Caenorhabditis elegans: one gene and its partner. The protein of the gene in region 2 interacts with the protein of the main gene of each other region in a pairwise test. Each region holds a gene or a part of one and is shown on either strand. Other genes may lie near its edges.

Evidence for each region. The genes of interacting proteins can lie anywhere in the genome.
Region 1: the proteins of crim-1 (region 2) and Y69H2.3 interact in a two-hybrid assay, tested with the Caenorhabditis elegans proteins (2 studies listed by BioGRID).

The regions. Positions count from the first base shown.
Region 1 is NC_003283.11:18,661,094-18,665,721, forward strand, and holds the start of Y69H2.3 (Follistatin-like domain-containing protein), read right to left. Parts: upstream 3,034-4,628; 5' UTR 3,004-3,033; coding exon 2,937-3,003; intron 2,895-2,936; coding exon 2,818-2,894; intron 2,769-2,817; coding exon 2,633-2,768; intron 1,719-2,632; coding exon 1,524-1,718; intron 1,458-1,523; coding exon 1,266-1,457; intron 1,221-1,265; coding exon 1,026-1,220; intron 619-1,025; coding exon 529-618; intron 85-528; coding exon 1-84.
Region 2 is NC_003283.11:10,329,087-10,334,040, reverse strand, and holds the start of crim-1 (Cysteine-rich motor neuron 1 protein-like), read left to right. Parts: upstream 1-1,928; 5' UTR 1,929-1,996; coding exon 1,997-2,155; intron 2,156-2,853; coding exon 2,854-2,962; intron 2,963-3,204; exon of another isoform or gene 3,205-3,344; intron 3,345-4,787; exon of another isoform or gene 4,788-4,790; coding exon of another isoform or gene 4,791-4,860; intron 4,861-4,954.

The DNA.
Region 1 (4,628 bases), 8.3 Mb from region 2:
CACAAGTCGGCTTGCCAGTTGACATGGAGCATTGGTGACCGGTACGGCAGTCCACCAAGTTGCATGGGTTCTCGTCAGTGCTGCCTGGAAACAATTTATATGTTAGAGTCGGAAAATTCGTATATTTTGAGTCGCAGGGTATGCACCAGGATTGCGTCAAGTCATTACGTCGTTGCATCATGATTTTGGCATGAAAACAAGCTAAAATCCCGATTTTTGCGTCAAAAACAACCCCAAACCTTCAAAATTGATTCAAAAATGTGCCGAAAGTTGGCAGATTTGTTGAAACTCGCACGTTAAACCAAAATGTGTGCCAAAAAAACGTTTTCGTCAAAAAACTGCCAAAAAGTATGTCAAAAGCCAATATCCCCATAAAATTGGTCCAAAACTGTCCCAAAATGTGAAAATCGTTCCGAAAATCCACAAATTTGTCAAAATTCCATCCAAGTCCATTTCAGGACACCAAATTCTCAGAATTTTAGCAAAGAACCGCACCAAACCAGCGCCCGCGGACAGAAAAAATGATACCTGGCACACAAGTTGCCTGGCCAGTTGACATGGTGCATCGGTGACCGGGCTTGCAGAGTACCAAGGCACATGGGTTTGTGTCAGTCTTGCCTGGAAACCACATTTGTAGGGGAAAATCAAAAAATTCTGCTCAAAACTGCCCCAAAATAGGAAAATTGCTCCGGATTTGTCGAAAAAAGGGGTCAAGTCGTTTTTTGCACCGAAATTTTGGTCCAAAAACTAAAACTTTTGTTGAAAGGCCTAGATTTACATCAATTTTGATGCAAACCTGCTCATAATCGCAAAATTGTTCTAAAAATCAACAGCGGAGTCAAAAATGCCGCAAAAATTCGTTTCAAGACACCAAACTTGCTAAAACTCTCTAAAACTGAGCTCAGCTCAATTTTCTTAGATATTTTCATCAAAACTTTGCCAGAAGCCTATTTAACATGACTTTTTGCCCGAAAATTCACTCGAGACCCCTAAAGCCACTAGAACTAGGCTTCAGCCCTACTAACCAGTCGGTGGGCACTCTGCAAGCTTCACACACTGTCCCTGCCGGTTCCTAACGAGTCCCTTCTTGCAAGAGCATGCTTTTTCGCACCTCATCATGCACCTAACAAATGGCTGTGGATTGACAGGACATTTTGCCTCGGAGCACGAATTGTGACAGTCATTGGGCTCCTCATTCTTGGAGCAAGTCAGTGTGGAGCCTAGAATCACTGGCTCTAACTAGTTTCCTTTAAAACGGTACCCACCAGTAGCCGGACACTCGGTAGGGTTCACACACTGTCCCTGGCGGTTCCGGAGGAATCCCTTTTTGCAGGAACATCCGATGTCGCATTTCTCCATACAGTTTACCAGTGGCTGGGGCTTAACCGGACACTTTTTCTCGAAGCACGCGTTGTGACACTGGTTGGGCTCCTCGTTGGTTCCGCAGGTTTGAGAGCCTGGAAAGTTGCAGTGCGGTGGCGCAATTCTGGTGCATTTTTTCGTCCAATTTTTAGAGTACTTACCAATCGCTGGGCACTCGGCCTCCTTGACACACACTCCTTGGTTGTTTCTGACGAATCCGTCCATGCAGGAGCATCCGACTTGGCAGGCCATCAAGCAGTTCACCTGTGGAGCATTCTTTTGTGGGCACTTCTTCTCGGTGCATGGGTTGTGGCACTCGTTGGATACCTCGTTGACTGGGCATGTGAGGTTGGTGGCTGGAAATTGGTGGGGGGTTAGAGGGGTTTGGGGTCGGGGGTCTTGGTTTGGAGGCTTTAGGATGCCTGGTAGGTTTGTGCTTGGCACCCTTGAAGTCTGGCGCTGGTACCCACGATCTGGGCTCGGTACCCCAAGCTCTGAGCTTGGTACCCATGAACTCTGGGCCTGTGACCCATTAACTCTGGGCTTGTTACCCTTGAAGTCTGGCACTGGTACCCACGATCTGGGCTCGGTACCGTGGAGCTCTGGGCTTGTTACCGTGGAGCTCAAGGCTTGGTATTCTTTAACTCTGGGTCCGGCAGTCCCCGAGCTCTGGGCCAGGTACCCACGAAATCTGGGCCTGGAACCCATGAACTCTGTGGCTGGGGACCCTGAACTGTGGAGCTGGTATCCCTGAACTCTGGGCTGGGGACCTCTGAACTTTGGGCCTGGCACCCCTGAACTCTGGGCCTAAGATCCATGAACTCTGGGGGCTGGTACCTGGGTCTAGATACCCGTTTCGAACTCCGGGCCAGTGTCTGTAGGGCCTGAGATGCCTTAGAGAATGGGCCTTGTCAGGAAGATCTGATTTTCAAGCGGACCCCGCGCTCCAAAACATCAGATTCCAGGACTCCGTGTGCAGCCCGGCCCAAAATTTAGTCTTTCGGTATCCCCAAAATTTGGGGCAGGTACCCCCGAACTCTGGGCCTGGGACCCTTGAACTCTGGGCTTGGCGCCCACAAAGTCAGGAGGCTGATACCCCCAAGCTCTGGGTCTAGATACCCGTTTCGAACTCCGGGCCATTGTCTGTAGGGCCAGTGCGGCCTTAGAGATTGGGCCTTGTCTGGAAACTCTGATGTACTAGCGGACCCAAAATTTCAGATTCCGAGACTGCGTAGCCCGGCCCAAATTTTAGTCTGTGTCCCCTTCTAACCTGGTGGTGGAATTGGAATCGTCTCATTCGCCGCAACATTGCAGTCCTTCTGCTCAACACAACGATTATCCGAAGTTCTGCGGAAGAATCCACTGTTACACTGACATCCCATGACGCATTGCAGTGTGCAAAAAGTCTGCAAAAACCACGTTGTAAGCCGGAATTTGACAACAAAATCTGCTCACCGGAGTCGGAAGCCCGCAAGTCGGCTCGCAAGCCGTGCCACACGTCTGGAAGCTCTCGTTTTCTTTGCATTCTTGGTCTGAAAGGGGTTTAGGTACACTTTTAGGTTGGAAAAACTTACCTCTTGTCGCTGAAAGTTGAGCGTTTGCTCCGATGAGCAGAACGCTGAGCAGCACAATATACTGCATCGCTCCGAAACTCGGAAACTCTGGAAAACTATAAAATCACGCCATTTTATAGCATTTTTATGCGAACCAAAACATAAAGTTTCAGGAAAAACATTATAATAAAAAAACCAGAAAATCGAGAAATCAGACATCAAAAGTGCGGAAAACATTATGTTTTGAGAGAGAAAAGGAGAAAGTAAACAAAAAAAAATGTCTGTGTTTTGATGATTTTTGGGGTCAAAAGATTGGAAATTTTGCAGAAATTGCTGGGAAAAAATGGGGAGTTTAAAGAAAAACAACATTCGAAGTTACAGAAAACTTGAAAACAATATGCAAATATTGCAAAAAAACATGGAATTTTCGGGAAAAAACTATTGTTCAAAGTAAATATTTTTTGATATGTTTTCAAGTTTAAATATGTAGTTTGAACTGTTTTTTCCAAAAAAAAATTATAGAAAAAATCTATGAATTTCAGACAATTTTACATAGGAAAAATCAACTTTTCAGATATTTTTACATAGGAAATTGGAAATTTACGGCATTTTTTATATAGACAAATCAAATTTTGAGACATTATTTTACAGGAAACTCAAAATTTCAAATATTTTTACACTGAAAATTCGAAATTTCAGGAATTTTTACATAGGAAATTCAGAATTTCTGCCATTTTTCTACTGGAAAATCACTTTTTTCAGAAATTTTTTATATAAAAAAATTCAAAATTTGAGACATGTTTCGACTGAAAAATGTATTTTTCCGGTATTTTGAACTGTGAAATTCAGGATTTCGGCCACTTTTAAATGAATAAATGGAAATTTTAGACATTTTTACATAGAAAATTTGAAAGTTCAAACGTTTTTTTTACAGGAAAATCAATTTTCTAGACATTTTTAAACATGAAATCTGAAACTTCAAGAATTTTTTATATAGGAAGTTCAAATTTTTTACGTTTTTGTACTAAAAAATTCAAAATTTCCGGCATTTTCTGCTAGAAAATCAATTTTTCAGATATTTTCACATGAGAAATTCAATATTTCAGATTTCTATACAAAAAATTTGAAATTTAGGACATTTTATACTGGAAAATCATATTTTTAGGATATTTTTTCATAACAGTTTGAAATTTCATGCATTTTTACATAGAAAATTTGAAATTTCTGCCATTTTTCTACTGGAATATCACTTTTTCAAACATTTTTACATAAGAAATGTGAAATGTTTAGAGATTTTTATATAGGAAATTCGAAATTTCAGAAATTTTTTACATATAAAAATCGATTTTTCAGACGTTTTTCTACAGGAAAATCAGTTTTTCAGATATTTTTGTATAGGAAATTTGAAATTTCTGCAAGTTTTTGAAAATCATTTGAGAACTCTGCGTCTAAATTCCCGCAATTCTTGTAGATCTGGGGGGTAGATCAAACCGAAATGGGACAGCATGGGCAGTTTCACTACAAACTACAAACTACACTTGAGTACTAAAATTATACGACTAAATGACGAGACAAAATCAATATTTCGAACCAACAAAAAAATAAACGAAAATCTAACGAAATTCACAAAGTTGTAGTGGATTTTTGGATTAAATGAACACGCGCGAGTTGACTAGAAAAAACGGAAATTGAAGGGTTAATCCCCCAACCCGC
Region 2 (4,954 bases):
TCCATTTTCTAACCTCTTGTCATTTTTTCCTTTCGAAGGCAAAAGGAGAAATATACCGAAGAGACATTTCGACGCCAATATACACTGTAATCAATCTTCTCACCTTCACGCCAATCATCCTCTCGATCATCATCCTTTCTCGATAGTTTCAAACTGTTTTCTTTTTTTCTTTTTTTAGTGAAAGACGTCGATGAAGTGTTTGTGATAAAAAATTACCGAGCTACAAGAGAAGAAAGGGAATTTTTGCTGAAAAGGCATTCCGTTCCACTCTTTCTCCTCTATCTCTGAAATTCCTCTTCTAATATTTTTACACCCTCACTAATAACAAAACACCTCTCCTTCTTTACCATACATTCATCTCATTTTCTATCTTTTATCACACCGTTCCTTACCGGTTTCTTATTTGAGGCAGCATGTATTTCAATGAGACCTCCATGAGACGTTTTTTTACCTTTTCCCGTCTAGACCCGCATAATCTAAATGGTTTCAATGTTTCCTTTTCCATCTCTCATCGACTCGTTTTTTGTCTATTTTCTTGTCCTCGTTCACTCAAGTTGATAAGAGCATTTTGAACACATAAAAAATTTACTATGGCCTAAACCAGGCGATTTTTATTGAGTTTTCATAAGAATCGTTTTTTGTGGAACATTGTGTACTTTTTTAAAGTTAAAGAAGTATTATTTCAAATTTAATACGATTTGAATGCTCTTCGATCATTCGGCTGATTGGCATGTCTTCCTAATTAATTGGAAACTTCTCAATAGAATACCACAAAATATAGCACTACCCTTATTGATATACTTTAAGAAACTATTTCTAGGTTTTCTTCGGCTTAAAAATGTAGCACATAAATTTGGTGCCAATTACTTTTTGATATTTTAGTATTGACAAAATTTGTGATAATACCAAGGATAACCAAATATGAGCTGCCAAGATAGAGCATTAAATGTACAAGGCTAATAGGGAAAGTACCGTAATCTTTTTGTAAGGTTGACACGCTTAGCGACCAGTTTTCTGTGTGTTTTTCAGGGTTTCATTTTCTCCAGATTTCAAATATTCCAGGTTTCCTGCTCCTCAATATTCTTTTTTTCTGCATTTCAAACGGTAAATTCTTTAGTGAACGTTGAAGATAATTCCGGAATCATTTGAAAGTTGAATTCTTCAAATGAACATTTTGCACGAGACGTAATAGTTTTATCAGTAATAAAATCACTTGTTATTTTTGAAAACTAGATAACTTCTCTTCTCTTGAAAAACTGTGGAATAAAACAAATAGTTAAGTAAAAACTGTTCTTTTGAGTAGGTAGCATAGGAACATCCACCTATTTTTTTTTGTTTGATCTGGTTCTAGTTTCTAAAGTAAACATGAATAAACTTAGAATCTTTGATGAAAGTCATTATCAATGTTATAACACGGAACTAGGTCTCCTTTGTCAAATGAACTGAGTGTTTCTTCTTAATTATGTTGTTGTTTCTTTCTATTGAATTGCAAAACAAAGTGTTCTAATCCATCGGGCGCCAGTTCGGTATACTACGAGCTTCTGCTACCATCTTTCTGTCTCCGCGCACCTTCATCATTTTGTCTTTCGCCCAATGTCAACAGACCTTTTTTCGTCTCCCTGCTTGCTCGCTTGTGTTCTTTCTCTTTGACAGTGCAGCTTCTTCACCGATCGACTCGGATCACTTTCGTTGTCTATAACCTCTCTGATTCTTGTGCTTTACCGTCGTGAAGATCCCGCGCAGTTCGATTTTCAAAGGCGGGGCCTGCACAGACACAGTTCATTTCAAATTGGGACACTACGAGACGGTCTCTCTGTTTCTCGTTTTACTTACTTTTTCATTTGAATTGAAATCTTAGTTACATGGTCCCAAAAAAATCGACAAAAAATTTATATACATGACTACAATTTTCATATTTTTCTTTGCAGAGCTTGTGGGCCGTTCATCACGCGGCTTCTCCGCTGAACGGCAAAAACGGTTATGCAGAATTGTTGAAATGCAGTGGTCAAGTAGTATTATTTTACTCTTCACATTTCTTATCATTTCCAATGCAAAAAACCAAAAGACCACATTGTGCGGGACATGTGACAAGGATTCATGTCCAGATGTTTCAGGATGCGAGCAATTGAAAAAGGATCAGTGCGATTGCTGCGAAGTGAGTAATTTAAAATTTTGATAGAAAACGAACTATGGTTTAACAATTCTTTAAAACTTATTTTTAAAATTAATTTTAATATTCTAGTTCCTCAGTTTTAATTTTCTTTTTAAAATTCCAGAACATTGAATGTGAGCTTTTGAAATAATTTTCCACAATTTCTCATGACTAAAATTCTAACTATTATCATAAATCCCCAATAACTTAATTATTATTGGACAATGATCAAATGAACAAATGAAAGGATCAAATGCTCAGTGAAACAACTGAATAAAGATGAGCTTTAATGTATTATGCTACACAGTCAAATCAGTACCAAAACGAAGAACCGTTTGATAGAAACGCATAATTCAGATACCGTGTATCCTCTTAGAGCTCTTATTCCTCTTATTCCTATAATGAAATTGCACATAGATAGGTTCCCGATAATTAGTACTTTTTTTACTAATAGAGGAAACACGGTACATTAAAAATAATCCTAATTGCTTTGAAAGTGGTTCAACTTTCTAAGTTTCAAATGATAATAACTGTCCCTTAAATCTTACTTTCGGTTTTTAAACCGCGGTTTTAGTTATAATTTTGTTTCTACAAAAAGAAATACACTGAATAAACTTAAACATAAGTCAAAAGTCTATAAAAAAGTATGTGCGGTCTTTTTTAACGGCTTTCAAACAATAAACAAAAAGTTATACTTGCAGGTCTGCATTCGACAAATCGGTGAAACTTGCGACGGGCCTGGTCTTGTTTGTGATTCGCATCTTTCATGTCATCAGGAAAACGATCTTGATGGTTCAAGTCGATGTAAAGGTATATTTTCTTCAATATTTCAAAGTCCCTTTGCATGTTTCATTCGATTTGAAAGAACTTTGGTTGTTTTTTCGAGGTCCAGAATGCTTCCTAATTAAAAAGAAAAGGGTGCTCTAGAGTTACTATTGGGCTTATTTTATTGCTGAAATTTGATAGGGTTTCTTCTCAGTCTCTCTATCTCTCTCTCTCTTTCATTTTCTCTTCCTATAAAAAATGACTTCTCAAAATGGTGGCGGTTCTCTTGTGCTGAGGCTTCTCGTGTGTGCTCGCCGGACGACGCAATCCACCCTGCTCTCCCGAATATACAATTTCTATTTACTTTACTTCACTCTGCCCGCAGTTTTTTAACCAAAAAGTCCTCTATGTTGTGTCCGCAGATAGGGCGGCTTGCAAAGGTAGAAAATGGGTTGGACTAACTTGAGAATTGAAACGATCTTGTTGTGGATAAAAAATCGGACAATGTAGGCAATGGGGATATCAAGTAATTGAAATATTGCAAGGATTCTGAGCATACCAAAACTTGAATGTTGTTAAAAAATACTTAGATTGTTCAAAAATAAATTGTTTTTATCAATTTCTTTCAAGATCTAGAAAAGGAGTGAGCTAGAAAATTCTTGATTGCGGCATGTTGTTCCAATGTTTGGTAATTGGAAGATTTTAAGCCATCATTAAGCACCTCCCAACTCCTTTAACTCAAAATGAAAAGTTTATAGATTATTAAAACATTTTCTACATTTTTACTGAAATATAATGGAACAACGAGCCACGATCGGCCTTGTTGTAGAATTTCCGTCTCAACCTGATCTCGAATTATTTTATGCTCAAGCACATTTGGTTTTGTCTGGATTTTCAGTTCAAAAATGTACTCCTTCCTGTATTTGTCTATTCCGTGTTGTTTCGTTCAAGATGCCATCAAACTTTAATTCAATTTTCGAATTATGATTGCATAGGAAACAGAAAATTTCAAAAAAAAAAAACGGAACGAATGACTAACCAATTGCGCGACACCGAAAAAGAACAGAGTTTCGAGAAGTGTCTAACCTCTGTCTCCCTCAATTGACTCCGCCTACTTTGTCTTCAAGTGTTGCATAGAGTTGGCCATATGCGGGACGACGTAAATCATTTCGATAATTTTTTTACGGAAAGAAGAGCTTGGTGTCTTGGAGATTAGTAATGGTTAAGCTTCTTTTCATGAAATTTTTTTTTCTATTTTTGTCATCGGCAAATCTTTCTGCTTCTCATTTGAATTTGAAAATGTCTTAGTATATATCAAAAATTATGTGTACATACTTTGAAATTTCAAAATGGCTATTCCCGACATTTCTGTGCTTAAATAACAAGGAAAAATCAGAAAAATTTGATATACAAAAATTATTTTCAACAAATAAAAATAAACTTGTTTGAAACTTCAAAATAAAAATGCCTTTCATTATTTTCTATATTAACTGCAATGAATTTGGTTTCACTATGTAATATCTGTTGTTTCAATTTAGACAAACCGAATCCATTGCTTATAATGTATAAATTGTACTTTGTTTTTCTGCATATTGTAACTTGCCACTTCCATAAAACGCCTTTCATCGTAATGTGTACCAGTTGATTTTTGCTTTGAAATGCATAAAAATGGTTCATATGCCTTGACCAACTTGAAATTGACCCTGTCATCTGCAACTTTTTTGTTCTTCAGTCATCACCAAGTATCTTCTCGGTGTCCACCTGATCAGATGTTCTCATGTTTTCAAATCCTTCTTTCTTTTTTCCATGTGATTTTTGTGTATTTTTGTGCTCTAATCCTCTTTCTCCTACTCACTATATTTACAGCTCGAGAATGCAACTAGTCGTCTGCGTCTTTCTACTTCTCTTCTCATTTGTCAATTTTCTCCGAACGGAGCAATCAGGTGTGCTAGAAGGCATTCTCTTCTTGAACAGATATTGTCAAAAAGAAATTAATAGAGTCAAAATAAGTGACAAAGGGGGTGATGGCGGTAACCA